Linked DNA regions of Anolis sagrei. The protein of the gene in region 4 purifies or fractionates together with the protein of the main gene of each other region. This does not show direct contact. Links are inferred from orthologs where the notes say so. Each region holds a gene or a part of one and is shown on either strand. Other genes may lie near its edges. The genes, in order: PDHA1, OGDH, PDHB and DLD.

Evidence for each region.
Region 1: the proteins of DLD (region 4) and PDHA1 purify together in Homo sapiens (affinity purification with mass spectrometry; 4 studies listed by BioGRID and IntAct, counting the BioPlex papers as one, with this or other methods). This does not show direct contact. The link is inferred for Anolis sagrei from reciprocal best matches to the Homo sapiens genes DLD and PDHA1.
Region 2: the proteins of DLD (region 4) and OGDH purify together in Homo sapiens (affinity purification with mass spectrometry; 3 studies listed by BioGRID and IntAct, counting the BioPlex papers as one, with this or other methods). This does not show direct contact. The link is inferred for Anolis sagrei from reciprocal best matches to the Homo sapiens genes DLD and OGDH.
Region 3: the proteins of DLD (region 4) and PDHB purify together in Homo sapiens (affinity purification with mass spectrometry; 3 studies listed by BioGRID and IntAct, counting the BioPlex papers as one, with this or other methods). This does not show direct contact. The link is inferred for Anolis sagrei from reciprocal best matches to the Homo sapiens genes DLD and PDHB.

The regions. Positions count from the first base shown.
Region 1 is NC_090023.1:88,918,048-88,925,839, reverse strand, and holds the start of PDHA1 (pyruvate dehydrogenase E1 component subunit alpha, somatic form, mitochondrial), read left to right. Parts: upstream 1-4,790; 5' UTR 4,791-4,960; coding exon 4,961-5,029; intron 5,030-7,792. UniProt on the Homo sapiens protein: The pyruvate dehydrogenase complex catalyzes the overall conversion of pyruvate to acetyl-CoA and CO(2), and thereby links the glycolytic pathway to the tricarboxylic cycle.
Region 2 is NC_090027.1:15,081,156-15,088,437, reverse strand, and holds the start of OGDH (2-oxoglutarate dehydrogenase complex component E1), read right to left. Parts: upstream 3,016-7,282; 5' UTR 2,911-3,015; exon of another isoform or gene 2,888-2,910; intron 1-2,887. UniProt on the Homo sapiens protein: 2-oxoglutarate dehydrogenase (E1o) component of the 2-oxoglutarate dehydrogenase complex (OGDHC). Participates in the first step, rate limiting for the overall conversion of 2-oxoglutarate to succinyl-CoA and CO(2) catalyzed by the whole OGDHC.
Region 3 is NC_090022.1:29,004,143-29,011,423, forward strand, and holds the start of PDHB (pyruvate dehydrogenase E1 component subunit beta, mitochondrial), read right to left. Parts: upstream 3,017-7,281; 5' UTR 2,962-3,016; coding exon 2,854-2,961; intron 1-2,853. UniProt on the Homo sapiens protein: The pyruvate dehydrogenase complex catalyzes the overall conversion of pyruvate to acetyl-CoA and CO(2), and thereby links the glycolytic pathway to the tricarboxylic cycle.
Region 4 is NC_090025.1:82,693,841-82,701,781, reverse strand, and holds the start of DLD (dihydrolipoyl dehydrogenase, mitochondrial), read left to right. Parts: upstream 1-4,931; 5' UTR 4,932-5,049; coding exon 5,050-5,088; intron 5,089-7,941. Other genes in the region: polycystin family receptor for egg jelly-like, read right to left, coding at 1-2,612. UniProt on the Homo sapiens protein: Lipoamide dehydrogenase is a component of the glycine cleavage system as well as an E3 component of three alpha-ketoacid dehydrogenase complexes (pyruvate-, alpha-ketoglutarate-, and branched-chain amino acid-dehydrogenase complex).

The DNA.
Region 1 (7,792 bases), on a different chromosome or scaffold from region 4:
TTGTTGTTTGGCCATCACAGTTTTGAAGGGCTGTTGACAATAGTAAGAACTGGGGTCCCCGTGCATAGAAATGGGCTTAGTTACAATAATAAAGAGTTGACCTTTTAACAGATGCGTAGAAAGGCAATAACATCCCCTTAGCCCCAACACCATTCAGCCTCCTCAAATAACCCTCCTGGATGACGATTTGATTGATATTGGAACCAAAGAGAGTGCCAAATGAATGACATTTAATGCGAGAATACCCTGACAAAGAGAAATAAATAACCACCCTCCCAGATCCCAAAAGAAAATTCACAACTATAACAAAATCAAAAATTATCAAAGTTAAACAAAATTAAGTGATAATACAATTAAATAAATAAATAACATAGGTGGGTATATAGATAAAATGATAGATAGATAGATAGATAGATAGATAGATAGATAGATAGATAGATGATAGATAGAATGATAGATAGATAGATAGATAGATAGTTGGGGTGGGTGGGTGGGTGGGTAGATAGAAGGGTGTCTGGATAGATGGATGGATAGAAAGATAGATTGGTAGGTGGGTGGATAGATAGAGAGAGAGAGAGAGAGATAGTGGGTGGGTAGATGGATGGATAGACAGATTAAATAGAGAGAGAGGGTGGGTGGGTGGGTAGATGGATGGATAGATTAGATAGAGAGGGTGGGTAGATGGATGGATAGGTAGATAGACTCCCTTTATTCAGCCCACTCAGCTCCCTTGATGTCTCATTATCTACCTCAACATTAGAATCACCCCCACCTAACGCCCAAGGGAGACTATTCCCCAGCCCAACTTCCTCCTCTGAGAGCTGACTAGATCACGGCCATGTAGGGGGGGGGGAGTTCCAGAGGAAGGGGGGGCATCCAAGACGTGTGGGGGAGGAGACTTGTGGGTCACAAACATCCCAGGGAGAAGCGCAACAGAGTCCTTGCGACCCTGGAAAAGGTGGGTAGTGGTAGGCTCCTTGGCAGCCCCCTTGGTCTTAAGGTCCTGCTGATTAATGCCAGATCCGTTAATGGTAAGACCGCGGCCATTCAAGACTTGATCCTGGATGAGAGGGCGGATCTGGCATGCATCACCGAGACCTGGCTGGACGAGCTGGGGGGTGTAAATCTCTCTCAGTTATGCCCACCAGGTTTTGGAGTGCATCAGCAGGCCAGACAAGGGGGGCGGGGAGGAGGGGTCGCAGTAGTCTTTCGGCAATCCATCGCCGTGATCAGATGCGCTGTCCCGCAGGCTTCCGGGTTTGAGTGTGTCCACTTGAAAGTGGGGAGCCGTGACAGTGTGGGGTTCCTGCTGGTGTACCGCCCACCCCGCGACCCAGCAGCTTCCCTGTCTGAGCTAGCGGAGGTGGTCTCTAATTCGGCCTTGGTCTCCCAACGCCTGGTGGTGCTGGGAGATTTTAACATTCACGCTGAGACCACCTTATCTGGCGCAGCTCAGGACTTTATGGCCACCATGACGACCATAGGACTGTCACAGATAATATCTGGCCCCACTCACCAAGCTGGACATACTCTTGACCTTGTCTTTGTGATGGACAACGAATTGATCAGAGTGGAAGATCAAAACATCCTTCCTGTGTCATGGTCTGACCATTATCTGATCACTTTTAGACTTGCTGCGACTCTTAACCTCCGCAGGGGTGGAGGACAAATTAAAATGGTCCGCCCTAGGAGACTGATGGATCCGGATGGATTCCTGAGGAATCTTGGGGTTCCTCCTGCCCTGGAGCTTGGCGATTCTATCGACGCCTTGGTAACTCTCTATAATGGGGAGATGTCCAGGGCATTAGATATGATCGCACCCGAACGTCCCATCTCGTTGCGTCGTGACAGGCCATCTCCTTGGTTCACCGAGGAGCTGGCTGTGATGAAGCATACGAGAAGGGGGCTAGAGCGCAAATGGAGGAAATCTCGAGCCGTCTCTGATCGAGCACGGGCTAAAGCCTCTCTTAAGGCATACTCCGTGGCTATATGGGGGGCCAGGAAATCGTTCACGACCTCCCGTATAGCGTCTGCTGCAAATAGATCATCGGAGCTGTTTCGGGTCGTGGGGGAACTCCTCCATCCTCCTGTGGTGGAGGAGGTCACTGATGACCCAGCAGCTAGGTGTCGCGATTTCGCACACCATTTTGCAGGTAAAGTCGCCCAGATACGCCTTGAGCTCGACTCCAATTCCATCGCAGTGCCAGAAGAGGTGACGGAGGCATCTGCTTGTCTGACTTTGTGGGATTCTTTTAGGCCTGTTCTTCCTGAAACCGTAGAGGAGATTCTTGGGGCTGTGAGGGCGACCACCTCATCTCTAGACCCATGCCCATCTTGGCTCATCAAATCAGCCAGGGAGGGGTTGCTTGATTGGTTTGTATTGATTATCAATGCATCGTTGGAGCAAGGGATTTTTCCATCTAATCTGAAGCAGGCTGTGGTTCAGCCACTCCTCAAAAAAGCTTCCCTTGACTCCACGGTGCTGAGTAACTACAGGCCAATCTCCAACCTCCCTTTTCTGGGTAAGGTGCTGGAGCGGGTGGTCGCCTCGCAGCTCCAGAGCTTCTTAGACGATACCAACTACCTAGATCGGTCACAGTCTGGCTTCAGGCCTGGTCATGGTACCGAGACAGCCTTGGTCGCCTTGGTGGATGACCTCCGCAGAGAACTGGACAGGGGGAGTGTGACTCTGCTGGTTCTCTTGGACATCTCAGCGGCTTTCGATACCATCGATCATGGTATCCTTCTGGGTCGTCTCTCTGGGATGGGCCTCGGGGGCGCGGTTCTGTCGTGGCTCCGGTCCTTCCTGGAGGGACGGACCCAGATGGTGAAGCTGGGAGACGCCTGCTCTGACCCCTGGCCTTTGACCTGTGGGGTCCCGCAAGGCTCCATTTTGTCGCCCATGCTTTTCAACATCTATGTGAAACCGCTGGGAGAGGTCATCCAGGGTTTTGGAGTTGGGTGCCATCTTTATGCGGATGACACACAACTCTACTACTCCTTTCCACCTAACTCCAAGGAGGCTTCTCGGGTGCTAGACGAGTGCCTGGCCGCTGTGTTGATCTGGATGAGGAAGAACAAGCTGAAGATCAATCCCGACAAGACAGAGGTCCTCCTGGTCGATCGTAAACCGGATCGGGGTATAGGATGGTTACCTGTGTTGGACGGGGTTACACTCCCCCTAAAGCCACAGGTCCGCAGTTTGGGTGTCCTCCTGGATTCTTCGCTCACACTTGAGGCTCAGGTGTCGGCGGTATCCGGGAGGGCCTTTGCGCAACTGAGACTTGTGCGCCAACTGCGACCATACCTCGTGAAGGCTGATCTGGCCGGCGTGGTCCACGCCTTGGTCACCTCTAGAATGGACTACTGCAATGCGCTCTACATGGGGCTGCCCCTGAAGATGGCTCGGAAACTTCAATTGGTCCAGCGGGCAGCTAGGATCCTAACTGGGGCTCCTTATCAAGAGAGGTCTACCCCTCTGTTTAAGGAGCTCCACTGGCTGCCATTTATTTTCCGAGCCCAATTCAAGGTGTAGGTGCTCACCTACAAAGCCCTAAACGGTTTGGGACCACCCTACCTGCGTGACCGCATCTCCATCTACGAACCCACACGCTCGCTTCGATCATCTGGGGAGACCCTACTCGTGATCCCACCTACGTCGCAAGCGCGCTTGGTGGGGACACAGGACAGGGCTTTCTCTGTGGCGGCCCCCCGACTTTGGAACGCCCTTCCAAAAGATCTCCGACAGGCCCCTACTCTAGCTGTTTTCAGAAGGAATTTAAAAACTTGGCTATTCCGTTGTGCCTTCTCAGACTAGGAATCCCCACCCCAAGTCCTAGTAGCACCTTAGCATAACTAATCGTCGCTGCACACCGCACTTCTAATCCTACGTGCCTCCTGCCATTTCAGCACTTTTAACCCTTGTACCCCATTGCGCCGGCCGAACCAGTTTTAATAATGTCTTGATGTACTGCCATTGTCGTTATTTTGCTTATTGTTTTGATTTGCTTTGTTATTGTTGTGCTATGTTTTCTATTGTATTGTGTTTTGAGGCTTCGGCCTGTGTAAGCCGCATCGAGTCCTTCGGGAGATGCTAGCGGGGTACAAATAAAGTTAATAATAATAATAATAATAATAATAATAATAGATAGAGATAGATGTATAGATGGTGGGTTAGGTAGACAGACAGACAGATAGTGGGTAGGTAGATGGATGGATGGATGGATAGATAGATTAGATAGAGAGAGGGGTGGGTAGATGAATGGATGGATAGATGGATGGATGTATAGATGATGGGTTAGGTAGACAGACAGATAGTTGGTAGGTAGATGGATGGATGGATACATTAGAGAGAGAGAGGGTGGGTAGATGGATGGATGGATGTATAGATGGATGTATAGGTGGTGGGTTAGGTAGACAGACAGACAGATAGTGGGTGGGTAGATGGATGGGTGGGTGGTGGATAGATAGATCGGTGGGTGGGTAGATGGATGGATGTGTGGGTGAATGGATGGATAGATAGATAAATAGATAGGTAGATAGACAGATAAATCGGTGGGTGGATAGATAGATGAATGGGTGGGTGGATGGATAGACAGACAGATCAGTGGAGGGAGGGAGGGAAGGAGAGAAAGAGAGAGAGCTATCTCGTCTCCAGAGGAGTCAGTCATTGTCGGCGGGCTCCGCCAGGGGGCAGTAGAGCGAGAGAGAGCGAGCGGAAGAGCGCCGCTGCCGACACTTCCTCCGCTGTCCTTCTGAGCGGAGCTCCTCGTCGGCCGGGTTTCCGCGGAGGAGGAGGAGGAGGAGGAGGAGGAGGAGGGGAGGAGGGAGGGAAGAAGAGGTTGAAGGAGACTCGGCGGCCTTGCCTTCCTTCCTTCCTCCGGTGCGCGGCGGGGCTGGGAGCAGCCGAGGGTAGAGCAGGCCGCGGCGTGTGTATGTGGCGGTGAGCGCCCTGCCCTCCATGCGCAAGATGCTGGCCGCCCTTTCCCGCCTGCTGCTGCTGCCCAAGGGCTCGGCTGCCCACAAACCGGTGAGTGAGCGGGGGGAGGCGGAGGGCAGAGGGCTCCCCGTGACTGACTGACTGACTGACTGACTGACTGCCTGCCTGCTTCCCAAGGCCACGTGCCAGGGGCGCGAGGCGAGGGGGAAACGGGCACTCCCGAGGGGGCGCGTGGCTGACAGCTGGGGTCGCGCGCACAACAACGGGGGGAGGGGCGACGCGGGGAGGTGAGGAGGGAGGAGGCCGCGCCCTGTAGAAGAGTTCTCTCCCTCAAGAGCTCTCTGCCCTCCTCTGAGGCAGGCTTGGGCCTTCAGTCGTTTCTGACCTATGGCGAGCGAACCCTCTCCTCCACCTTCCCCTCCTCCTCCTCCTTGGCAGAAAGGGGTTTGCCCTTGCCTGTCTCTGAGGCTGAGAGAGTGCGGCTTGCCCGAGGTCACCCGGTGTCTTTCCTTGGCTCCTCAGAGTGCCCTTGAGGTTTCTGCTTACACTGTCAGCGCTGTGGAGCCACGGGAGTTTTGGCTTGCGCTTTTTGAAAGGCAAGGCTCAAGGCCATGCAAAACGACCACCCCCAAGACGCCAGGGCAGTTAGGAATGGGGCCCAACTGGATTGGTTCTACAGTGAAGATGCACCTGTAGTCCAGCGCTCAAACTGGCGCCCATTTATTTATTTATTTGTCGTGTCAGGGCAACTGGTGCCCATAAGAACACACAGTCCCCTGGAAAAACCAACAATGCTTGGTTATTTAGAAAGCTGTACAGAAAAAAGGCAGATGCTGCAGACAGATAGATTGTTACTGCATAGAGTTACGACCGTGTTGGCTTCCCATCCAGCTACTAGCAGGGCCAACCCTGCTTACCTTCCAGTGGCTGCTGGATTTTTGTCATTATCTCCCATTAGGTTGTGTTGTCCAAAGCTTTCATAATCACTGGGTTGCTGTGAGTAAATGCCCAGTAGAGTTTTTTCTGCCAGCCATAAGTCAACCTAGTGGCAGGGTTGCTGCAAGTTTTCCGGGCTGTATGATCATGTTCAAGGAACATTCTCTCCTGATGTTTCACCCACATTATGGCAGGCATCCTCAGGGGTTTGAGGAGTCTGTTGGAAATGAGAATGCCTGCCATAGATGTGGGCGAAATGTCAGGAGATAATGCTTCTGGAAAATGGCCATACAACCTGGAAAACTCTCAGCAACCCTGCCATTAGGTTGACTTATGGCTGGCAGAAAAACTCTACTGGGCATTTACTGCTTAAGACATACTAAATATTTATAGACTTATTGTAAATCAACAGGTGACTAAAAGCACACAGAAATTACAGAATGGGAATGGAAGAAACAATATTCCTTCAACAATACATTGAGATTATTAAGAATAGTTTTGGCCATAACTTCATAACCACAGATGTATTAAGAATATTCTCCTTTCTAAAGCACAATAAGACCCTAAGCTCTTACAAAGAGCAGTACAAAATAAAACATTATACTAACACAATACAGATATGCCTACTTTGTACTATGCTTCTTGCAACACATTAATATTGCTTTGTGTCTGAGTCTCCAGTTTGTGCCAAAGGACATGGAAGTGGCTTTCTGGATAATCAGGCTGCCATATGGCATCACATGTTTAAGGGTAAAATAAAGGCAAACATTCCACACTACAGGAATAGTATTTCTTGTCTCAGAAAACCCTATGAAATTAATGGGGTTGCCATAAGTTGACAGACGGAGGCATACACACAGGTGACCAATATAAAGAGAGCACAGGTGTCTTCCCACTCCTTTCCATATTTGTGGAGAGGAAGCTGTCTCTTTTCAGGTATGTCTTTTTGCCCAGTTTCTGTTTTGATATAGTTGCAACACTGCTGCCCTACTTGTGTCTGTCTTATTTCAATGCAGTGGTTCACAACCTTTTTTTGACCACTCTCCAACAGTAGTACCAAATGGGTTACAAATCGGGTTTGGGTCAAGTGTAGATTTGGTTTGGTTATTTGGGGTACTAATTCAGAAAATTGCATTGGGCAGACCACATCAGCTCTAGCTTCTGATGCAAAACATATGTCATCCAGTAGTCACCATTTGCTTGCCCACAGAAAACCATATTTAATAATTTATTTATTTATTTATTATTTACTTTGCTTCTATACCGCTGTTCTCAGCCCGAAGGCGACTCACAGCGGTTCACAGTCAGTAAAAACAGCAATAATTCAATGCAACATATAACAACAATTAACAACTTAACACATTACCCGCTCAGTACACAATTACTACCATAACCAAACCCAATCGTCTTATCGTCAAAAACATAATCCAGATTCGTCATCCATTGTTCATTCCTATGTTCATTACCAATCATTGTACTAGTTATTCGAATGCCTGCACACACAGCCAGGTCTTCAGTTTTTAGGGAATACCATGAGAGATGGGGCCGATCTAATGTCCATGGGAAGGGCGTTCCACAGCCGAGGGGCCACCACCGAGAAGGCCCTATTTCTCGTCCCCACCAACCGTGCTTGAGAAGCCAGCGGGATCGAGAGCAGGGCCTCCCCAGAAGATCTCGAAGTCCTGGTGGGTTCATAGGCAGAGATGCGGTCGGAAAGGTATCTTGGGCCGGAACCGTTTAAGGCTTTATAGGCCAATGCCAGCACCTTGAATTGAGCCCGGTAGCTCATCTAGAGCTCATCTAGAGCTGATGTGGTAATAATAATCTTTCATGGGTAGTCAGCCTCTCCCCTCCCCATATCCCTGTTGCCTCTGCACTATAAGAGAGTTTCGCAGGACCAGTCACTCTCATTGTTGC
Region 2 (7,282 bases), on a different chromosome or scaffold from region 4:
CATCCTCAGAGGTAGAGGTCTGTTGGAATTAGGACAATGGGTTTATATATATATCTGTGGAATGGCTGGGGTGGGGCAAGGAGCTCTTCCCTGCTGCAGTTAGGTGTGAATGTTCAGCTGATCACCTTCATTAGCATTTGAAGGCCTGCCTGCGCCTGGGAAAATCTGCTGCTGGGAGGTGTTAATCTGTGCCTGGTTTTTTCCTCTCTGTTGTTTAGCTGTTATAATTTTAGAGTTTTTTAATACTGGTAGCCAGATACTGGTAGCCAGATACTGGTAGCTGAACATTCACACCTAACTGCAGCAGGGAAGAGCTCCTTGCCCCACCCCAGCCATTCCACAGATATATATAAACCCATTGTCCTAATTCCAACAGACCTCTACCTCTGAGGATGCTTGCCATAGATGCAGGCGAAACGTCAGGAGAAATGCCTCTAGAACATGGCTCTATAGCCCGAAAAAACCCACAAGAACCTAAACATTTATTTATTTAATATAATTATTAGGAGCATTTCTGTCCTGTCCTTCTCGCCTCCGAAGAGGGACTCAGTACTGCTACCAACAGGCATCATTCAGTGCCAAACAACAAAAGAAGCACAATATACAATTAACCTATATTAAAAACAATTATAGATACATTAAAACAGTTCGCCATTTCACGTCATCTTCCAAATCAAACATATTAAAACAATATACAGTAATGAGGAAAGGCGTCTGTGGTGTCCAAGCAGTAGAATGGTTTTTAATTAGATATATCTGGTACCAAACTTGATACCATTCTGGACATTCCACATATATATAAACCCCACTTGCCTAGTTTCCAACAGACCTCACAACCTCTGAGGATGCCTGCCACAGATGTGGGTGAAATGTCGGGAGAGAATGCTTCTGGAACATGTCTATACAGCCGGGAAAACTCACAGCAACCCAGATTTTAAAACTGTTTCATTTTTTAAAATCTGTGATCTGTTTTGTATCCATTTAATCCGTTTAATCTCTATTTTGTGTATTTTAATAGACATTTTATAGAAATACGTTTTAATATGTAACTTTTGTAGAAATATGTTTTAATATATGTTATCTGTAGCGTTCCTGCAATGTTTATGTGTTTTAATTTTTCTGTAACCTACTTTGAGCCATGAAGTGAAGTAGGTAAGAAGTCATTTTGTTGTTGTTGTTGTTGTTATTATTATTGTCCACCTGTCTTCCCTCTCTGAGAAACTCCAGAGCATAAACAGTAAAAGTTAAACTATACTTAGGGCTCTTACACAGTCATATAACCCAGAATATCAAGGCAGAAAATCCCACAATATCTGCTTTAAACTGGGTTTATTTGAGTCCACAATGTATAGTATTGTTTAGTCCAGTGTTTCTCAACCTAGGGTCCAAGACCCCTGGCAGCCCCCGCGAGAGGTGTCAAAGGGGTCATCAACGATAATAAGAAAACATGGTATTTTCTGTGGCCATGGGGGTTCTGTGTGGGAAGTTTGGCTCAATTCCATTGTTGGTGGGGTTCAGAATGTACTTTGATTGTAGGTGAACTGTAAATCCCAGCAACTACAACTCCCAAATGTCAAGGTCTATTTCCCCCAAACTCCACTGGTGTCCATTCTTGGGCATATTGAGCATTTGTGCCAAGTTTGGTCCAGATCCATCATAGCTTGAGTCCACAGTGCTCTCTGGATGTAGGTGAACTGCAACTCCCAAACTCAAGCTCAATGCCCACCAAGCCCTTCCAGTATTTTCTGTTAGTCATGGCAGTTCTGTGTGCCAAGTTTGGTTTGATTCCATGGTTAATGGAGTCCAGAATGTTCTTTGATTGTAGATGGACTATAAATCCCAACAATTACAAAATGACCAAATTAACCTCCTACCCCACTAGTATTCAAATTTGGGCGTATTGGATATTTGTGTCAAATTTGGCCAAGTGAATGAAAATATATCCTGCATATCCGATATTTGCACTGCGATTCATAACAGTAGCAACATTACAGTTATGAAAGTACAGTTCTAGTTATGAAAGTAGCATTAAATATCATTTTATGGTTGAAGGTCACCATAACATGAGGAAGGGGTTGCAGAATTAGGAAAGGTATTGTTTTTATGTTAATTAATTTTAATGTTTTTTATTTGTTGTTATTGATTGTTTTTATTGTGTCTGTTTTATTGTAATCCTGGGCTTGTCCCCTGTAAGCCGCCCCAAAGTCCCTTCAGGGAGATGGGAGGCGGGGTATAAAAATAAAGTTATTATAAGGTTGAAAAACACTGGGTTAGTCCTATTTTTAACGGTAATTCTCAGCTACATTTATCCAGCACCTACCAGTTACCTCAGGCCTGGGTCAACTTTTGCCCTCCCTCCAGGTGGGCCAAAATCCACCATTCCTAACAGTCTCAGTCCCTTTCCTTTCCCCCTCAGCTTCAGGCTCCTTCCTTCCTTCCCCCCACCCCCTCAGCTGCTTATGGTCCTGTGGCTGTTAGGAATGATGGGAGTTGAAGTCCAAAACACCTGGAGAGAGAGCCCAAATTCATTTGTATATGAAACATAAATCGGTGTTATCTTCACTATATGTTGTGCCCCGCCTCGAGCTGTGAGGAGAGAGGGAAGAACAAATGAAATGGAATATTACTGGAAAGAACTCCAATAATAAGCCGGAGGGGATGGAGATCTAGTAGGCCAGACCCACACGGCCCACAGGGGCACACAAGAGCCCGAGCAGGGGGCTCCGGCCTAGCCAGGCCCGCCTCTCACCTCCCTACGGAACCCGGCGCGGCCCAAACCCGCCCGCGAAGGACACTTGTCCGGCCCCCCTGAGGGCGACTTCCCTTTCGCGGCCCTTCCCTTCCCTCGCGCCTCAGCCTGGCCCCAAACCGCCTCAGGCCGCGCTACCTGCCGCCGGCGCCTCGACCGACCTTCCTTCCTGCCTCCTTTCCCCTCAGGAGGATTCCGAACTGGGCTTGACAGCGCCAACCGCCGGCTCCGCCTCTCTCGCTTCCGGGCGCCTACGTGCTTACGTCATCAAGCACGCCAGGAAACCCTAGACTAGACCTTTTTGTAAAACAATAGAGTGAACTCCACGTTTAGATTTAGAGCAGCCACCGGCCAAGTTGGGCTCTAGCTCCAGGAAACCCTAGACTAGAGATTTGAAAAATTTAGAGTGAACTCCACGTTTAGATTTAGAGCAGCCACGGGTCAACTTGGGTCCTCTTTCCAAGAAACCCTAGACTAGAGCTTTTTTTAAAAATAGAGTGAACTCCACGTTTTGCTGTTAGGGGATTTAGAGAAATCAACTCGAAAGTTTTGGACTTCAAGTCCCACAATTCCTAACAGCCTCAGACCACTTCCTTTCCCCCCTCAGTCTCTTAAGCTTAGGGGAGTTGGACAAGAGTCCCCAACATCCCCAAACAGGTTCCTCTACGGCTCTACAGGGCCCTAATGCCGGTCCTTTTGCCGCCGCCCAGTGGAGACATCAGGAATTGCTGTTCTGCTCCTTCCTTGAAACCGCAGAGGCGCTTTTCACCCAGGACTCCGCGACTCCAATGTACAATCCTTTGCTGCCATCAAGTGGCCAGATTGGGAAATGGCAGCCCTTTATTATATTTTCCGCAAAGCCACTCCTTCATTGAATCCATATATATATATATAAGGAGGGAGGAATTTATTTATTTACAATATATATATACCGCCTTTCTCACCCCTGGGGGGACTCAAAGCGGTTAATAAACAATCAATCAATCAATCAATCAATCAACAATAAACAAACCAACAAACAATCAGGGCCAGCTAGGTAAAGATAAAGGTTTTCCCCTTACTTTATGTCTAGTCGTGTCTGACTCTGCGGGTTGGTGCTTATATACATTTCTAAGCCAAACTGTTGTTAGACGATCCCTCAATGTCTGAGTAGGATTGTCTTCCAAGATTGGTGGATGCATAGGTGACTGTGGAGCCCTATTCTTGATCTGCATGTTCTCCTGCAGTGAGGGCATTGGTTTCTAGGTGGTAGGCAGTCAGTCCCGGTCAGGGTTGGCTTGATGCACCTTCCTCTTGGCACGTTTTTCTCTTTCGCCCTCCATTCGTGCCTCTTCAAATTCTCCAGCACTGCTGGTAACAGCTGACCTCCAGCTGGAGTTCTCAAGGGCCAGGGCTTCCCAGTTCTCAGTGTCTATGCCAGAGTTTTTAAGGCTGGCTTTGAGTCCATCTTTCAATCTCTTTTCCTGTCCACCAACATTCTGTTTTCCATTCTTGAGTTCAGAGTAGAGCAACTGCTTTGGGAGACGGTGGTCGGGCATCCGGACAACGTGGCCGGTACAGCGGAGTTGATGGCGGAGGACCATCGCTTCAGTGCTAGTGGTCTTTACTTCTTCCAGCACGCTGACGTTTGTCCACTTCTCTTCCCAAGAGATTTGCAGGATTTTCCGGAGGCAGCGCTTACATTTCTAAGCCAAAGAGTAGCAATAAAAACAATGTTATGATTGGGGGTCACCACAACATGAGGTATTAAGGGGTTGTGGCATTAGGAAGATTGAGAACCACTGCCATAGCTGGCCAGTTTTCTAGGTATTTGTAACATCTGCAAGAAAAATCTGTCTTTTTTAAGACTTGGAGACATCCCCAAAGTGTGCCAATGTCTTTAAATATTTAGTGTCACATATCATTAGAGTAAGGCATTATATAATTAGCCCTTGCAAAGAGAGCACCATCTAGCGAGCGCATCTAACACTAATGAAATAATTCAAAAGCTAAAAGACTGTATAGGGAATTTAAGTCTAATACCCACTGAAGTGTGGCTTGATCCTTCTCAACCCAATGGCCCTCCATGCAAAATTGTACACACAAGACAAAATTATATATACATTATATATTGGTTTTACTTGTTTCATGAGAGGGTAGAGTGAGGAGATGAGGGCAATAACCAGGGTTTTTTGGGGGTGGGGGAAATGGGTTTCCTATGTCTGTATTAAAAACAAGTGCAAAGTCAAATCTCGTAGTGAGTTAAGGTTTGTTCAAAGGTGCTGCCTTCCAGACTTTTGAGGCTTGCTTAGAATGTGTTTCTTTGCTTCTATATACACATACTAGCTGTCCCCTGCCATGTGTTGCTGTGGCCCAGTCTAATGACCTTGGTGAAGGGAGTTGGACTGGATGGCCTTAAGTATTTTCTATTGGTCATAGGGGTTTCTGTGTGGGAAGTTTGCCCCAATTCTATCATTCGTGGGGTTCAGAATGCTCTTTGATTTTAGGTAAACTATAAATCCCAGTAATTACAACTCCCAAATGTCAAGGTCTATTCCCCCCCCCCCCCCCCAACTCCATCTGTGTTCATATTTGAGCATATGGAATATTCGTGCCAAGTTTGGTCCAGATCCATCATTGTTTGACTCCACAGTGCTCTCTAGATGTAGCTGAACTACAACTCCCAAACTCAAGGTCAATGCCTATCAGTACCCATGTCATGGGAGTCCTGTGTGCCACGTTTGGTTCAATTCCAGCATTGGTGATGTTAAGAATGCTCTTTGATTGTAGGTTAATTATAAATCCCTGCAACTACAACTCTCAAATGACAAAATCATTTTTTTGAGTGAAAAACATACATTGAGTTGTTAAGTGTATGCTGTCCAAATTTGGTGTCAATTCGTCCAATGGTTTTTTGAGTTATGCTAATCCCACAAACGAACATTACATTTTTATTTATATAGATGTGGTCACGAAATGCATGTACTATATACCTATTTTCCCCCCAGAGGATTATGTACTCCAAACCACCAGCGTAAGAATACCCCGGTTGTTCAGGATTTGGGATATTAGCCAGAAGTTCCTTTTCCTGATGGGCAACATGCTACTAGCAAAATCTCGAAATGCTAATATGCCAGGTAACTACTGCAATTCTTTGGCTCTGTGTTTTCATCTCAACCTTCTACTTGTCCAGAGTCAATACTGGAATGCATGCATACATTCTTGGGCCGGACTGCTGACCAAAAGGTCGGGGTTCACATCAGGGTAGCGGGGCGAGCTCCCAACTGTCAACTCCAGCTTCCCATGCAGGGACATGAGAGAAGCCTCCCACATAATGGTAAAACATCCGAGTGTCTCCTGGGCAACGTCCTTGCAGACAGCCAATTCTATCACACCAGAAGCAACTTGCAACTTCTCAAGTTGCTCCTGACATGAAAAAAGATTAAATAGACACTCCATGTTGCTAATTCTCGCTTGAGCTTCTCTAAACGTTATAAAACAATTGCAGACTTTGGACTTTCCAAACAGATGATGATACCTGGGATTTTGAGAAAAGTTGGTTTGTTTGTTTGTTTTTAAAAAATGGAAGTTTGCAAATGTTTGAAAGACACTACTAGATTAAGATTACCTAACCCTGCCTCATGATTTGAGGATTAAATGCTTGCTCCAGGGAATCTTTTGAGCAGAATACAAAGGCTTGTTTGTAAACTCCATGGTTTTCAGTAGTAAATGCCCACATAACTTGGCAGTTTTATTTTTCTTCCTCAAGCCACAGCTATCAGCTTTTTGATTTTTCTGGATATTTGCAAGTCTTAGGTGAATCCAGAAATTTGAAAAACTGCAACTACTTCCAAGGACATACAGAAAATTCCAAGGTAAACGACAGCTGTCCTCTAAAATATGCTTATTATGTTCTGGCAACATTCCCTTCTGCAGGCTTCATTTACCTGAATCAGTAAAGGGAATCAGCACTTTTATGGGGTTTTTTTTCCATGTCAGATAGAGTTAGTGAGATTTTTTTTCATGTCAGGAGCGACTTGAGAAACTGCAAATTGCTTCTGGTTTGAGAGAATTGGCCTTCTGCAAGGACATTGCCCAGGAGACGCCTGGATACTTTACCACTCAGTGGGAGGCTTCTCTCATTTTCCTTCATGAGAAGCTGGAGCTGACCCCCATAAGAGATAGTAACTTATAGTTTTGCTAAGGACAAAGACAATAGGGGTCAAGTCTTGGTCAATTTACAAAGACACTAACAACAACAACAGGGACCCTTCCCATGTCAGATAGTGTGTACATTTAATCAGTGCCCTATATTTCACCGCTTTGAGTTGCCTGAGGGCTGAGAAAAGCGGTATATAAATAAAGTAAGTAAATAAATAAATATAGCAGAAGGTAACAAATTTATTACTGAAAACCATGCCACAAAAGTTATTTGACTTTTTCCATCTGAGACACAACTAGGCTAGAGAATTAACGGCTCTCCAATTGGTTTCCCATCTCAGTCAACGACTCACAAACAAAAGGGACTCTCTTTTGAGCTGAAAAACATTTACA
Region 3 (7,281 bases), on a different chromosome or scaffold from region 4:
GGAAGCTGATGAGGAAACACAGACCCACCAAGAAAATCCAACAAATGCTATGTTCAGCAAAGAACAAGAGCGATCCTCTCACTTCTACAGGAGTCTACCGTGTACCATGCAGCTGTGGACAAGTCTACATAGGGACCACCAAACGCGGCATTGCCCAAACACGAATCAAGGAGCATGAAAGGCACTGCAGACTACTTCAACCAGAGAAGTCAGCCATAGCAGAGAACCTGATGAAGCAAACTGGACACAGCATATTATCTGAGAACACAGAAATGGTGGACCACTCTCACAACCACCATGTCAGACTACACAGAGAAGCTATTGAAATCCACAAGCATGTGGACAATTTCAACAGAAATGAGGAAACCATGAAAATGAACAAAATCTGGCTACCAGTATTTAAAAACTCTAAAATTACAACAGCACAACAACAGAGAGGAAACAAACAAGGACATCTAATTACCTCTCAACAAAAGTTTGCTCTAGGCACTGTCAGACCATTATATGCTAATCAAGGTGGTCAGTTGAAACATTCACACCTAGCTCCAACAGACAAGAGTCCTTTGTCTCACCCTGGTCATTCCACAGATATATAAACCCTTTTTTCTAGTTCCAACAGACCTCACTACCTCTGAGGATGCTTGCCATAGATGCAGGCGAAACGTCAGGAGAGAATGCCTCTAGACCATGGCCATATAGCCCGAAAAAACCTACAACAACCCAGTGATTCCGGCCATGAAAGCCTTCGACAATACATTGAAATTAACTTTGGCTTTGTTTCCAGTAAACTTATTTGGTTAACTTTAATCCTGTCTCAAGAGTCTTTATTTTAAAGAACTAAAGTACATCAGAGGGTATGTTCCCTCCCTCACAAATAATCTGCCCCATTCCTATCTCACCCTGAGTTTTTAGTATTTTATCCTGTACAAGTGGCTTGCTTAATGTCACTGGGATTGTGAATGACTTTTATTGTATTTTATATTGTTTACTGTATTCTCATGTTTTATGTATTTTATTATGTTGTTGTTTTATGCCTTTATGATCTTATTTTATTTTATTGTATTGCATTGTTGGGCTTGGCCTCATGTAAGCCGCCCCGAGTCCCCGTTGGGGAGATGGTGGTGGGGTATAAATAAAGATTATTATTATTATTATTATTATTATTATTATTATTATTAGCCATCCCCTGCCACGTGTTGCTGTGGCCCAGTCTGTGTATATGTGCTTTGTGTGTCTATATGTGTGTCTATATATTTGTGTATATACGTGTGTTTGTATATGTGTGTGTTTTTGCGCATAAGTTCAGTCCCCACGAACTCCTCCTCCACAAATGTACCTTTTCATTGCTATCTCATCTAGAGTTTTACCATTTTGTTGTGCTTTTGGCCCACCCACTGTGTTTGATTTTCCATTATGCTATTTTGTACTGCTTATTTACTTAATTGGTTTATTTATTTTAACTGTGATGTTATATTGTTGTTTATATTTTATGTTGCTGTAATGAATCATTGAGCTTGGCGAGTCCCCTTTGGGGAGATGGTAGCAGGGTATAAAGTTTATTATTATTATTAATGTATTTTTTTGTCTTTTTAAGTCTCTTCCAATGTGTTTTTTAGTGTTTTTATGAGTGATGGTCACTCGTTGGCCTGATAAGTGCTTACCTACAAACCCTAAACGGTTTGGGACCACCCTACCTCCGTGACCGCATCTCCGTTTATGAACCCATGTGCTCACTTCGTTCATCCGGTGAGGCCCTGCTCGCGATTCCGCCTGCGTTGCAGGCGCGTTTGGTGCGGACGCGATACAGGGCCTTTTCTGTGGTGGCCCCCCGACTCTGGAAGACCCTCCCAAAAGATCTTAGACAGGCCCTTACATTGGCAGTCTTTAGAAAGAACTTGAAGACCTGGCTGTTCCGATGTGCCTTTCCAGAATAGGAATCTCCAATAACAAGTCCCAGAAGCACTTTATTAGAACTAAGATTGCCGCACACTGCACTTGCCCTATAAGCCTTACATATCACCTGTCACATCGGCACTTTTAATCCTGTACCCATTACTCTGGGCCGGCCCAGTTTTATAGTGTCTTGATGTATTGTTTATTGCTTGTTGTTTAATATTGCTTGAACTGTTTTTAATTTGCTTTAGGTGTTGTATTGTTATGTTGTGTTTTGAGGCCTTGGCCTTTGTAAGCCGCATCGAGTCCTTCGGGAGATGCTAGCGGGGTACAAATAAAGTTAATAATAATAATAATAATAATAATAATAAAATTATAATTGTTTCCAAATTTGGTGTCAATTCATCCAGTGGTTTTTGAGTTATCCCACAAACGAACATTACATTTTTATTTATATAGATTCATAGATTCCGATAACCACTGGGGAATAGACGGACATATAGTTTTCCTTCAACCCCCGGCATGCCATCACAATATATATTTTGCAGAGATACATTTTGGTATGTAACTTTTATGGAGGTACGTTTTAGTGTGTGTAACTTGTAGTGTTTTTGCTGTGCTTGTGTATTTGAATTGTTTTGTAACCCGCCTCGAGTCATGAAGAGAGGCTGGCAAGAAATAAAATAATAATAATAATAATAATAATAATTGACCTGTATAGAGTGACATTTTATCTCAATAGGAAGGGAACTCAACACCAGGCATGGGCAAACTTGGGCCCTCCGGGTGTTTTGGACTCCAACTCCCACCATTCCTAGTTGAAGTCCAAAACACCCGGAGGGCCCAAGTTTGCCCATGCCTAGCGTAGATGCACCCTCTGGCCGACCTCTAACTCCAAGCAACTCCTTTTCCACGCCCCGTTTCCCTTTCGGACTCTCTCTCCCTCGGGGGCGCCCCTACCTGAACGGCGGCCGGCACAGAGCGGTGAAACCCCCGCCGTGGGAGCCCCGAGAGCCGTCCTGCTCCCACTCGCAAAAGGCCTTTCAACGGCAACGCCGCTGCCGCCATCTTCAATTTGCCCTCAACCCCGCCGGCGCCCCGGCGTAACGCGTCACCGGGCACGCCCGTCACCGTTGCCAAGCAACCAGGAGGTAGCACGAGAGCGAAAGGGAGAAGGCGGGACTATCCTACAACTCTCGCGAGATTCAATCGACGAGAGTTCATCTCTATCCTTGCCTGACTATTTATAGCCCTGCCTGATGATGAGAACAGCATTTCCTATTTGCTGTAGAAGGCTACGGGAAGCTGAATGGGACAAGAAGGCTCAATGCGCGCTCTAAAATTAAAACAGCAAAACAGCAGAGGGAAAACAATCAGGGACATCTAATCACCCCTCAACACAAGATTGCTCCAGGCACTGCCAGGCAATCAAATGCTAATCAAGGTGGTCAATTGCAACATTCACACCTAGCTCCAGCAGACAAGAGTTCTTTGTCCCAACCTGGTCATTCCACAGATATATAAACCCTTTTCCCCAGTTCCAACAGACCTCACTACCTCTGAGGATGCTTGCCATAGATGAAGGCGAAATGTCAGGAGAAAATGCCTCTAGAACATGGCCATATAGCCCAAAAAAACCTACAACAACCCACTAATAGCAAAACATGCTGGTATATTATATATTGTGGTATACTCATATAATACCATATAATATATACTATTTGATTTACATGTATTATTAATAATAATATTGGAGTATAGTGCTGTGGTACAATATAGTAATATATAATTATATAATATGTTATACTTACATATAATATTAATAATATAATGTAATACAATTTAATATTACTAAATTACATCTTGTTACATCCCGAATAGACTACTGCAACGCGCTCTACGTGGGGTTGCCCTTGAAGACTGTTCAGAAACTTCAACTAGTCCAGCGAGCGGCAGCCAGATTGCTCACCGGAGCGACATACAGGGAGCATACCACTCCCCTGCTGTGCCAGCTCCACTGGCTGCCGATTCAGTTCCGAGCACAATTCAAGGTGCTGGTTTTGACCTACAAAACCCTGTACGGTTCCGGTCCAGTGTATCTGTCCGAACGTATCTCCCTCTACGTCCCACCCCGGAGTCTGAGATCATCTGGGGAGGCCCTGCTCTCGACCCCACCACTGTCACAAGTGAGGCTGGTGGGGACGAGGAGCAGGGCTTTCTCAGTGGTGGCCCCTCACCTGTGGAACTCACTCCCGGGGGAAATCAGGGCATCACCATCCCTCCTCGCCTTCAGGAGGAGGGTGAAGACGTGGTTATGGGACCAGGCCTTTGGGCACGCTGGCAATTAAATCAGATAATCAGGCAAGTAAGGACCAACAGGACTGATGAAGTGGAACGTAAAACTAGATCTATGAGTTAGCGAACGCTGACCATGTAAGAGGAGAAATTGGGTTTGTATTGGTTTTTATTGATTTTATTGATTTTATGGTTATAATGCATGAATTGTTATTAACTGTGAATTGATGTAATTTTGTGTATGATTGTTTTATGATGCAGGCATCAAATTGTGCCTTTGCCTTTGTAAGCCGCCCTGAGTCCCCTTCGGGGTGAGAAGGGCGGGGTAAAAGAACCCCAAATAAATAAATAAATAATAAAATATAATAATACAATAGAATCAAAGAGTTGGTAGAGACCTCATGGGCCATCCAGTCCAACCCCATTCTGCCAAGAAGCAGGAAAATTGCATTCAAAGCACCCCCGACAGATGGCCATCCAGCCTCTGCTTAAAAGCCTCCAGAGAAGGAGCCTCCACCACACTCCAGGGCAGCGAGTTCAACTGCTGAACAGCTCTCACAGTCAGGAAGTTCTTCCTAATGTTCAGGTGGAATTTTCTTTCTTGCAGTTTGAAGCCATTGTTCCATGTCCTAGACTCCAAGGCAGCAGAAAACAAGCTTGCTCCGTCCTCCCTGTGACTTCCTCTCACATATTTATTCATGGCCCTCATCATGTCTCCTCCCAGCCTTCTCTTCTTCAGGCTAAATATGCACAGCTCTTTAAACTGCTCCTCATAGGTCTTGTTCTCCAGACCCTTGAACATTTTAGTCGCTCTCTTCTGAACACATTCCAGCCTGTTAATATCTCTCTTCAATTGTAGTGCCCAAATAATAATATTGCAATATAGTAATACTAATATATTAAATGGAGCCTCGGTGGTGTAGCAGGTTAAAGCTGCGGAACTTGCTGAATGAAAGGTTGGCAGTTTGAATACAGGGAGCAGGGTGAGCTCCCATTGTTAGGCCCAGCTTCTACCAACCTAGCAGTTTGAAAACATGCAAATGTGAATAGATCAATACATACCACTCCGTCAGGAAGATAAAAGCTCTCCATGCAGTCATGCTGGCCGCATGATCTTGGAGGTGTCTACAGACAACGCCGGCTCTTCGGCTTAGAAATGGAGATGAGCACCACCTCCCAAAGTCAGACTCAACTAGACTTAATGTCAAGGGGAAACTTTTACCTTTAATATATTAAATATAATTACTACTGATAATATATAATGATATACTGTTTTATTTTTGTATATTTTTATATTTTAAATTGTAATGTTTTTGATCGTGAAACGTTTTGAGTCTCCATATGGAGAGATAAAGCATGATATAAATAAATAAAATATACTGTATTAAGCTAAAATAAATATTCAGCTATATTCAAAATAATAAGAAGTGGAAAGCCTCAATACTTCCAAGGAAGTTTTATGTCAAGCTGGTGGCAGGGATGACCAAACCTTCTGTTTTAAACTACTTCCACCTTCTTATTTTCCATGAACTCATTAAAAATACTATAAGGAGGAAAATAAAATAGGTAAAAATATTTATGTTTTGAAAGTATTGCCATGAATGCTGTTCGAACATTGGGAGACATCATAATAAGAGGCTATATATGAGTCCAGAATTTTTCTTGAACAACCCTGACTAACCTGCTGACGAAGGCCTGCCTACACTGGCATACAATGAAGTTTAGCAGTATTTAATTAATTATATGGCAGTGTAGATTCACACAATGCTGTTGAATTGCATTTTATGGCAGTACAGGTTGGGCCACTGTCATTAAGAATATTTTAAAAATTAGGACTATCCAGGAAAAGACATCAAATGTGTTTTTTCATTTAAATATTTGTAGATAATTTATCATGCAGACAGTGATACATCCAAAGTGTTCACAAACTGCATAAATTAATATATTATTGTGAAGAGAACTTATTGCTTATCTCCAGCCATGTACGCGGTTTGCACTGGGGTTATCTTTCGAGTGGAAAATCTTCCATCTCAATTCCAAACAAGCCCTCTCCAGCAATTACATGCTGTAAAGGTTTCAAAAGAGACACATTTAGAATTGCCAATTACTTGGGTCAGAAAGGTTAATTTATGCATAATTTGTCATATCTGCTCAGAAAGACTCATTCAGCCGAGGAAAGACAAAATGGTATGTTTGCTCATGCTTTGCAGAGCTTAACCCACCCCATTCTTGGGTGCATCTACGTATTAGAACTTTTTTTATGTGTCAGGAGTGACTTGAGAAACTGCAAGTTGCTTCTGGTGTGAGATAATTGACCGTCTGCAAGGATGTTGCCCAGGGGAAGCCCTGATGTTTTTTGATGTTTTACCATCTTTGTGGGAGGCTTTTCTCATGTCTCTGCATGGGGAGCTGGAGCTGACAGAGGGAGCTCAACCCACTCTCCCCAGATTTGAACCGCTGACCTGTCTGTCATCAGTCCTGACAACTTAAGGGTATAAATTATCCCACCTGACGACAATGCTTCAAGTGTATATTATTGGTGATCCCAAAAGAAACATTGTATAATCGCAATAAGAACCAACAGAGTGGTAGCAGAGTATCTAAGAAATATAAATTCATGGACACTTACCCTCCACTGATATATTGAAAAAAGACATAGAATTCAATTTAGGAGAGAAATGTAAAGTGTTGGTCACAGAAATGTACAATTATATAGTCTCATGGGCTAAAATAGCACAATCCGAATTTTTGTTCTTGCCAGAGTAGGGAAGTTTGGAAACGTGTGACATCCCGTTGAAAGATGAATGATTTCATGTTTCTCTTCTAAATTTAGAATCTAGGATAGGAAAAAAGAAGATGAAATGGCATTTTTGGACTATAATTTAGAAGAATGCGCACAAATAGCTGATGATTACATTGTTCTAAGCAAGCTCATTAGCAAAGCTAATAATCAATTGCAATCTGCATATATATGAGCACAAGCAATAATGAAAGAGCAAATTTCAGTGACCTTACTGAAGAGGTTATGATTATTAGCTAAATATAAATGTACATCTTAACACATAGTCATTTTCTTTTTCTAAATGAGGGATA
Region 4 (7,941 bases):
TCAAACTGCATTTCCCTGGAATTTGCTGAAAGAAGGGTCCAAAAGTAAAGTGGTTGATTTTTTCCACAATTTAGACATCTTGCAGACAGAACAAAACTTTCTGTTACTTTTATAGTTTTCTCACAATTTTCAACACAGGTGATGTTCAACACTGGTACAGAACCATGGAGTACATGAACTGTTTGGAGTGTGTGCGCTGATCTATTCTGCTTCTGAATTCTTAAGATAAAATAGTATTTTGTGTTTTCTTGAAGTGTGTTGGGCTCCACTATTTGAACGGGATCAATGGAAGGTGTCCAGGTTAAATCAACCTGTGCTGGGTGGCATTTTTCATTGGGACTCAGCCTCATTGTTGAATAATCTAATTCCCGTTTTGTGCAGTACCAGTTAAATGTCATTCCTTCCAGGGGATTGTGTGAATCAGGATCAGATGAGGAAGATCCATCCAGAGCCCAACGATCAGAAACACCAACCATCCGGAAGGGTCCTCCAATTATGTTTGCTACTAAATCACTTTCGAGAATTTGGAGTAATATTGAATCTGACTCAGTGATGTTTATATTATATGCAGGTAGAAAAACTGTCATGGTCACATTAACATGATGAAAGCCATAATACAAAACATTCCCGGGTATGTAAAATATTACGCTATCTGTAGTTATTTCATCAGGTAGCTTGAGAGGATGTGTCCAGTCAGGAATAGACAAAGCACTTTTAAGGCTGTAGATTTTCCAGAGTATATGTATAACTGAACTTGTCCTGCAGTCTGCTTTTGCAATTGATTCCAAGCGAACTGCTGACACTCTCCTGTATTTTATGACTGACTCAAACAGATTTGGTTTATGGATGGTAGCAATCAGGTTATAACAGTAACTTTTTTGACAGGCCACATTTAACTCCCTGATTTTTGAAGAGTAAGTGTTGACCGTGGCTTTGAGAACAGCATGTACAAGCCCACTTTTTCTGCAGTTCACTTTTGCTACAAACCCTGCATACAGGGAAGGTTTGAAGAATGAAACAGAGTGAGAAAGAAGGCGAGTGGCATTTTTCACATGATTTCCATAAGTGTACGTGTAATTCCAAAGGAGGTGCTCCTTCCTAGAATCAAAAAGTTGCAAATCAAAGATCCATTCACACTGCAGCTGCGGATGTTGTGTAGGAATAAACCATAAAACATAGGCCAAACTCTCATCAGTAGAATGTCCATTGAAAATCTGAACTTCGGTATCCTTTTCTCCTAAAGCCTTGAACAAAGTCTCCCTTCGGTTCAGGTATAAGTGCATGCTGAACCGGTACCACTGAGGTTGTATAAATTCAATGATGAGTAGGTAAGAGAGGCTCTGCTGCTGATAAAAAATATAGTGAAAGCTAGAGTTCCCACCACTGGCACTGGTATTCTTTCTTGCTTGGGTAGAATAGTATAGTCCCAAAGCATGACTGAAAATGTAAGTGCCTGCTTTTGTTCGTTGTGGGTTGAGCACGAGGTAAGTTGGGTTTGCATTGTTTGCTCTGAAAATCACAGTCTGATTAGAAAATCTGATTTCCCCCTTGAGCTGTCCAGATATTTTCTCGCTAATACGAAAATAGATGCTGGCCATCACTTTGCCCCCAGAATTCCATGATTTGGGAGCTGCACAGAAATCACTTTGTAGAGCAAAAGGATTATAATTGTAGTGAGGAGACCATTGGTCCAGTCCCTGCACATCTATCAACGAGTAAGCCATTATTCTGGGACTAAGGGGTTGGAGAGTCCAGGAAAGGTTGACAGTCCTGTGAGTAAGACTGAGCAATGTGGAGGAAGCGCTAAATACATGGAGCAGAGCAGGCTGCACATACACGTTGAGACTGCGTCTGAGGTGAGGCCCATTCTCAATATGGAGTGAAGCAGTGTAGACTCCACGGTGTGGATAACGCACTGTTACATGGTAGTTATAATATGATGCACATCCTTGGTGCAATTTTGCATAGGGATAAAGAGTGGGTGTGAGTGACTCATTGTGCTGGTTGCTGGGAATGAGATGGTCTACAGGACTACCCCCGGGACTCTCGAAGCGGTAGTTCCAGGTGACACTTTTCAGGCGTGCACACCAGCCTAGCTGCACTGGTTGCCATTCCCGGATGGGAAGTGTCTGTGGTGAGAGGAGGAAAAGATGGACATCTTGCTTAGAAACTTCAATGGTCAAGTTGTTGTAAGCACAAGTGGGTAAATAGCACCAGGCTGATACGCATTGCACTGTGATATGACTAAAGTCCTGGGGTGGATGAGGGCCTCCTTCATCTTGGCCCATATCTATTACCACCTGACCTGACCAGTGATTTGTATTCTCTAGCAAGTTGGAATCCCGGTACCACCTACAATGGGGAGGGACTTGCACGCCTGGCTTCCCAACCTTGATATCTAAAGACAGTCCTCTGTTTCTTGAATACTTCAGCTCAATTTTCCCAGCCCAGATACATGAGATATGATGTTCAGTGTCATGCCTCTGATAGACTCGTTGTTGTGGATCTGTGCAGATGACCAACAGTGGAGGTGGCAAGAAATGAATGGGCGCAGCTGTTGTATAACAAAAAGAGTACCTCAGGAAGAAGATAAGGAGCACAGGGCAATGCATCTCTAGTGCAATGGTTCAGAAGCAACAGCTGTTTAGCAGTATCACCAACAGATCTATGGTTTTAATTCTAGAATCTTTCTGCTGTTGCCCCAAGCAACTGGCCCTTCCGTAGAAGTCAATTTCTTTATATTTCTTGATATTATTAGCTGTCTAGTCCTTTCTCTTCATGACCTATCAGCACAATTTAATTCATTAACTTCTCCATATTTACCCATTTTTTCCGTATACTGTATTTCCAATAATCTTTGGATTTGAAATGCATCATAATAAACTTCCAAACTTGGGAAGTTAATAAATAATATTAAAGGGAATGGAAGAGGAGAGAGGAAACAGAACTTAAGGAACCCTTTAAAGGAACAGTAAAAGTGTGGGGAAAAAAGAAAGAAGAAGTTAAATCCAGGCAATGAGAATAAGATGGCAACTATATGGCAAATGAATTATAATAATGATGAAATTATAGGCAGAACATTGAGACTGATTGAAAGTAGAGGGAAAAGGTTAGTAGAGGATCTATATACAGAGGATGGAAACCCCGTAGAACAAAAAGAAATTCAGAATTATTATTATTATTATCCGAACGTATCTCCGCCTATGAACCCACCAGGACTTTAAGATCTTTTGGGGAGGCCCTGTTCTCGATCCCGCCTGCATCACAGGCACGTTTGGCGGGGACAAGGGACAGGGCCTTCTCAGTGATGGCCCCCCGGCTGTGGAACGCCCTACTCATGGACATTAGAACAGCCCCCTCGTTAATGGTGTTTCGAAGAAGACTGAAGACCTGGCTGTTTGAACAGGCGTTTGGATAAACAGTGCTATGAATATAATGAATATAGGAAAACGGAATTACGGATGACGAGTTGGATCACGATTCTAGTTACGAGATGTTAATGTGTTGTCTATTGATGTGTAATTACTCAGTATATTACGCTGTTGATTGTTTTTAAATAGTGTATGTTGTTAGTATTGAATTCTTGCTCTTGTTGTTAACCGCATTGAGTCGCCTACGGGCTGAGAAACTGCGGTATACAAATAAAGTAAATAAATAAATAATAATAATTATTATTCAGTTCTTGTGGGTTTTTTCGGGCTATAGAGCCATGTTCTAGAGGCATTTCTCCTGACGTTTCGCCTGCATCTATGGCAAGCATCCTCAGAGGTGAGGTCTGCTGGAGCTGGGGAAAAAGGGGTTTATATATCTGTGGAATGACCAGGGTGAGACAAAGGGCTTTTGTAAGTTGGGCTAGGTGTGAATCTTCCAATTGACCACCTTGATTAGCATACAATGGGCTGACTGTGCCTGGAGCAAACTCTTCTTGAAGGGTGATTAGGTGTCCCTGCCAGTTTTTCTCTCTGCTGTTTTTGCTGTTGCAATTTTAGAATTTTTTAATACTGGTAGCCAGATTTTGTTCATTTTCATGGTTTCTTCCTTTCTGTTGAAATTGTCCACATGTTTGTGGATTTCCATGGCTTCTCTGTGTAGCCTGACATGGTGGTTGTGAGAGTGGTCCAGCATTTTTGTGTTCTCAAATAAAATGCTGTGTCCAGGTTGGTTCATCAGGTGCTCTGCTATGGCTGATTTCTCTGGTTGGAGTAGTCTGCAGTGCCTTTCATGTTCCTTGATTCGTGTTTGGGCAATGCTGCGTTTGGTGGTCCCTATGTAGACTTGTCCACAGCTGCATGGTATACGGTAGACTCCTGCAGAGGTGAGAGGATCCCTCTTGTCCTTTGCTGAACGTAACATTTGTTGGATTTTCTTGGTGGGTTTGTAGATTGTTTGTATGTTGTGTTTCCTCATCAGTTTACCTATGTGGTAAGTGGTTCCTTTGATGTATGGCAAGAACACTTTTCCTCTGGGTGGATCTTCATCGTTACTCTCGTGGCTTGTTCTTGGTCTTGCAGCTCTTCTGATGTCTGAGGTGGAGTATCCATTGGCCTGGAGAGCCCAGTTGAGGTGGTTCAGTTCATCTTGGAGGAGGTGGGATGACCAGGGTGCTCTGAGGATGCTTGCCATAGATGCAGGCGAAACGTCAGGAGAAATGCCTCTAGAACATGGCCCTATAGCCCGAAAAAACCTACAAGAACCTAGTGATTCCAGCCATGAAAGCCTTCGACAATACATTGAACATTGTCTAATGTTTGGCAGTGCAGACCCAGCCTGGGAGAGATGCCTGCTCTGGGGGCCACTCAAGGAAAGAGAGGCGGGGCCCAAAAGTCCCTCCTGAGGAGCCAAGGGGGAGGAGCCAAGATACGTCACGAGCTGCAGTGGCCGGCCTCTTCCGCTAGGTGGCGCGCGCCTCTTCCCGGCGGCCGCTTCCGCTGAGGAGGACCTTGAGGGCCAACCCGGCCTCCTCTCCCGTTGTGCGCCTGCGCGAGTCTTCTCCGTCCTTGGCGTTGCCGCTGCAGCTGTGCCTCAGAGGGAACCGTCAGGGCAGCCGCCATGCAGACGTGGAGCCGAGTCTGTTGCGCTCTCGCCAAGGTAGGGCCAGGAGCCGTGGGAAAGGGGGACGGCGTAGGCCCGAGGCGTAGGCCTGACGGAGTAAATAGAGAGAGAAGAGCGCGCGCGAGAGAGAGTGAGGGAGCCGCATCCCGTCATGCCCCGCGCCGCCCTTGGGCCCTCTCTGGCCCCAGCGCCGCCCTTTCCTGAAGGGGAGCCCTGCCTAGAGCCACAGACTGGAGGGATTCCAGGGAAAGCTCACCCCGTCCCTTCTCCTGAAGGGGAGCGGGCTGGAGGCCGCGGAAGGGTCCCAGGGAGAGGGAACTGCACCTCCTGAGTGACAGGATCAGAGGGAAGGGCACCAAATGGACGACTGACTAGAACAGAGCTTTCCAAACTGTCTTGGCTGCAGTGTGTCACATGAACATCAATTAGAAACTTCTGAGTCTGTGTGGAATATGCAATAAGCCATTGGGAAAGACAAAACAAAACAATGAAAGCTAGGTTGTTGTAGGTTTTTCAGGCTATATGGCTATGTTCTAGAAGCATTCTCTTCTGACGTTTCGCCTGCATCTATGGCTATTATTATTATTATTATTATTATTAACTTTATTTATACCCCTACATTGGCAGTCTTTAGAAAGAACTTGAAGACCTGGCTGTTCCGATGTGCCTTTCCAGAATAGGTCATCCAGAGTTTTGGAGTTAGGTGCCATCTCTATGCAGATGACACACAACTCTACTACTCATTTCCACCTAATTCCAAGGAGGCCCCTCGAGTGCTGGACGAGTGCCTGGCCGCTGTGTCTATCTGGATGAGGAGGAACAAGCTGAAGATCAATCCCGACAAGACAGAGGTCCTTCTGGTCGATCGTAAACCTGACCGGGGTATAGGGTGGCAACCTGTGCTGGACGGGGTTACACTCCCCCTGAAGTCACAGGTCCGCAGTTTGGGAGTCCTCTTGGATTCAACGCTTACGCTTGAGGCTCAGGCGTCGGCGGTGTCTGGGAGGGCTTTCGCACAACTGAGACTCGTGCGCCAACTGCGACCGTACCTCGCGAAGGTGGATCTGGCCGGAGTGGTCCATGCCTTGGTCATCTCCAGACTGGGTTACTGCAATGCGCTCTACGTGGGGCTGCCCTTGAAGACGGCTCGGAAGCTCCAACTGGTCCAACGATCAGCAGCCAGGATGCTAACTGGGGCCCCTTACAGAGAGAGGTCAACCCTCCTGTTCAAGGAGCTCCACTGGCTGCCATTTATTTTCCGAGCCCAATTCAAGGTGCAGGTGCTTACCTACAAAGCCCTGAACAGTTTGGGACCAGCCTACCTGCGTGACCGCATTTCCATCTACGAACCCACGAGTTCTCTTTGGGCATCTGGAGAGGCCCTGCTCGTGATCCCACCGGCGTCGCAAGCGCGCTTGGTGGGGACGCGGGACAGGGCCTTTTCTGTGGTGGCCCCCCGACTCTGGAACACCCTCCCCAAAGACCTTAGACAGGCCCCTACATTGGCTGCCTTCAGAAAGAACTTGAAGACCTGGCTTTTCCGATGCGCCTTCCCAGATTAGGAAATCTCCACTACCAAGTCCCATAAGCACTTTATCAGAACCAATGATTGCCGCACATCGCACTTGCCCTGGAAGCCCTATATACACCTCCTGTCACATCAGCACTTTTAATTTTGTACCCATTGCTCTGGCCCGGGCCAGTTTTATTGCGTTTAGTGTATTGTGCCTGTTGTTTATTTTGCTTTATTCTGTTTTTAATTGTTTGATTTGCTTAGATTGTATTGTTGTGTTGTGTATTGAGGCCTCGGCCTGTGTAAGCCACATCGAATCCTTCGGGAGATGCTAGCGGGGTACAATTAAAGTTTAATAATAATAATAATACAACTACCCAGTGATTCCAGCCATAAAAGCCTTCAACAATACAATGAAAGCTTTTCATGAGAGACCTTTTGTTGTCCCCATACGTTGCGTGTTTTAGAGCGTAGACATATGCCCTACATTTAGGGCAACTTTTATTTATTTTGTGTCAAAAGCATTGCATAAACAAACAAGCTCCTTGGTTTGCCCATTCTTGGTTTGTCCCCAGGGGAAGACTCTCATAGGGGGTCATCCAGTTGAAATTGCCTGATTTTTCTGCCCACAGTGATATTCTTGCTGTTGCTGGGGAAACCTTAAAGAGTAGTGGTAGTTCTCATGAAACTTTTCCTTGATTTAAGTCTACTCAGAGGTAGCTGATAGCAATACAGTGTGCACCTTTCACAATGTTCAGCCTTAATTCTCTCACAATTGGCAGCAACTTCCTGTTGCACATCGGGAATCATAGAGTTGGAAGAGATCACATGGGTCATCTAGTTCAGCCCCCTGCCATGCAAGAAAAGTACAATCAAAGTACCCCTGACAGATTGTCATTCATCCTCTGCTTAAAAGTATGCAAACACGGAGCTTCCACCAAACTTTTAGCGTATGAGCTGTTGAGCAGCTTATATGTTCAGGAAGTTCTTCCTAATGTTCAGGTGGAATCTCCTTTCCTATCATTTGAACCCATTGCTCCGCGTCGTGGGGCTCTTCCAGACAGGCCCTATATCCTAGGATCTGATCCCAGGTTTTCTGTTTATCTCAGATTATCTGGCAGTGCAGACTCATATAATCCAGAGAACCTGGGATCAGATCCTGGGATATAGGGCCTGTCTGGAAGGGCTGCTAGATCATGAGAAGCAGAAAACAAGCCTTCTCCCTCTTCCTTATGACAGGATTTCACATATTTAAACATTGCTATCATGTCTCCTCAACCTTCTCTTCTGCAGGTTAAACATACCCAGCTCTTTGAAATGCTTCTCATAAGCATGGTCTACAGACTTTGATCAGTTTAGTTGCCCTTCTCTGGACA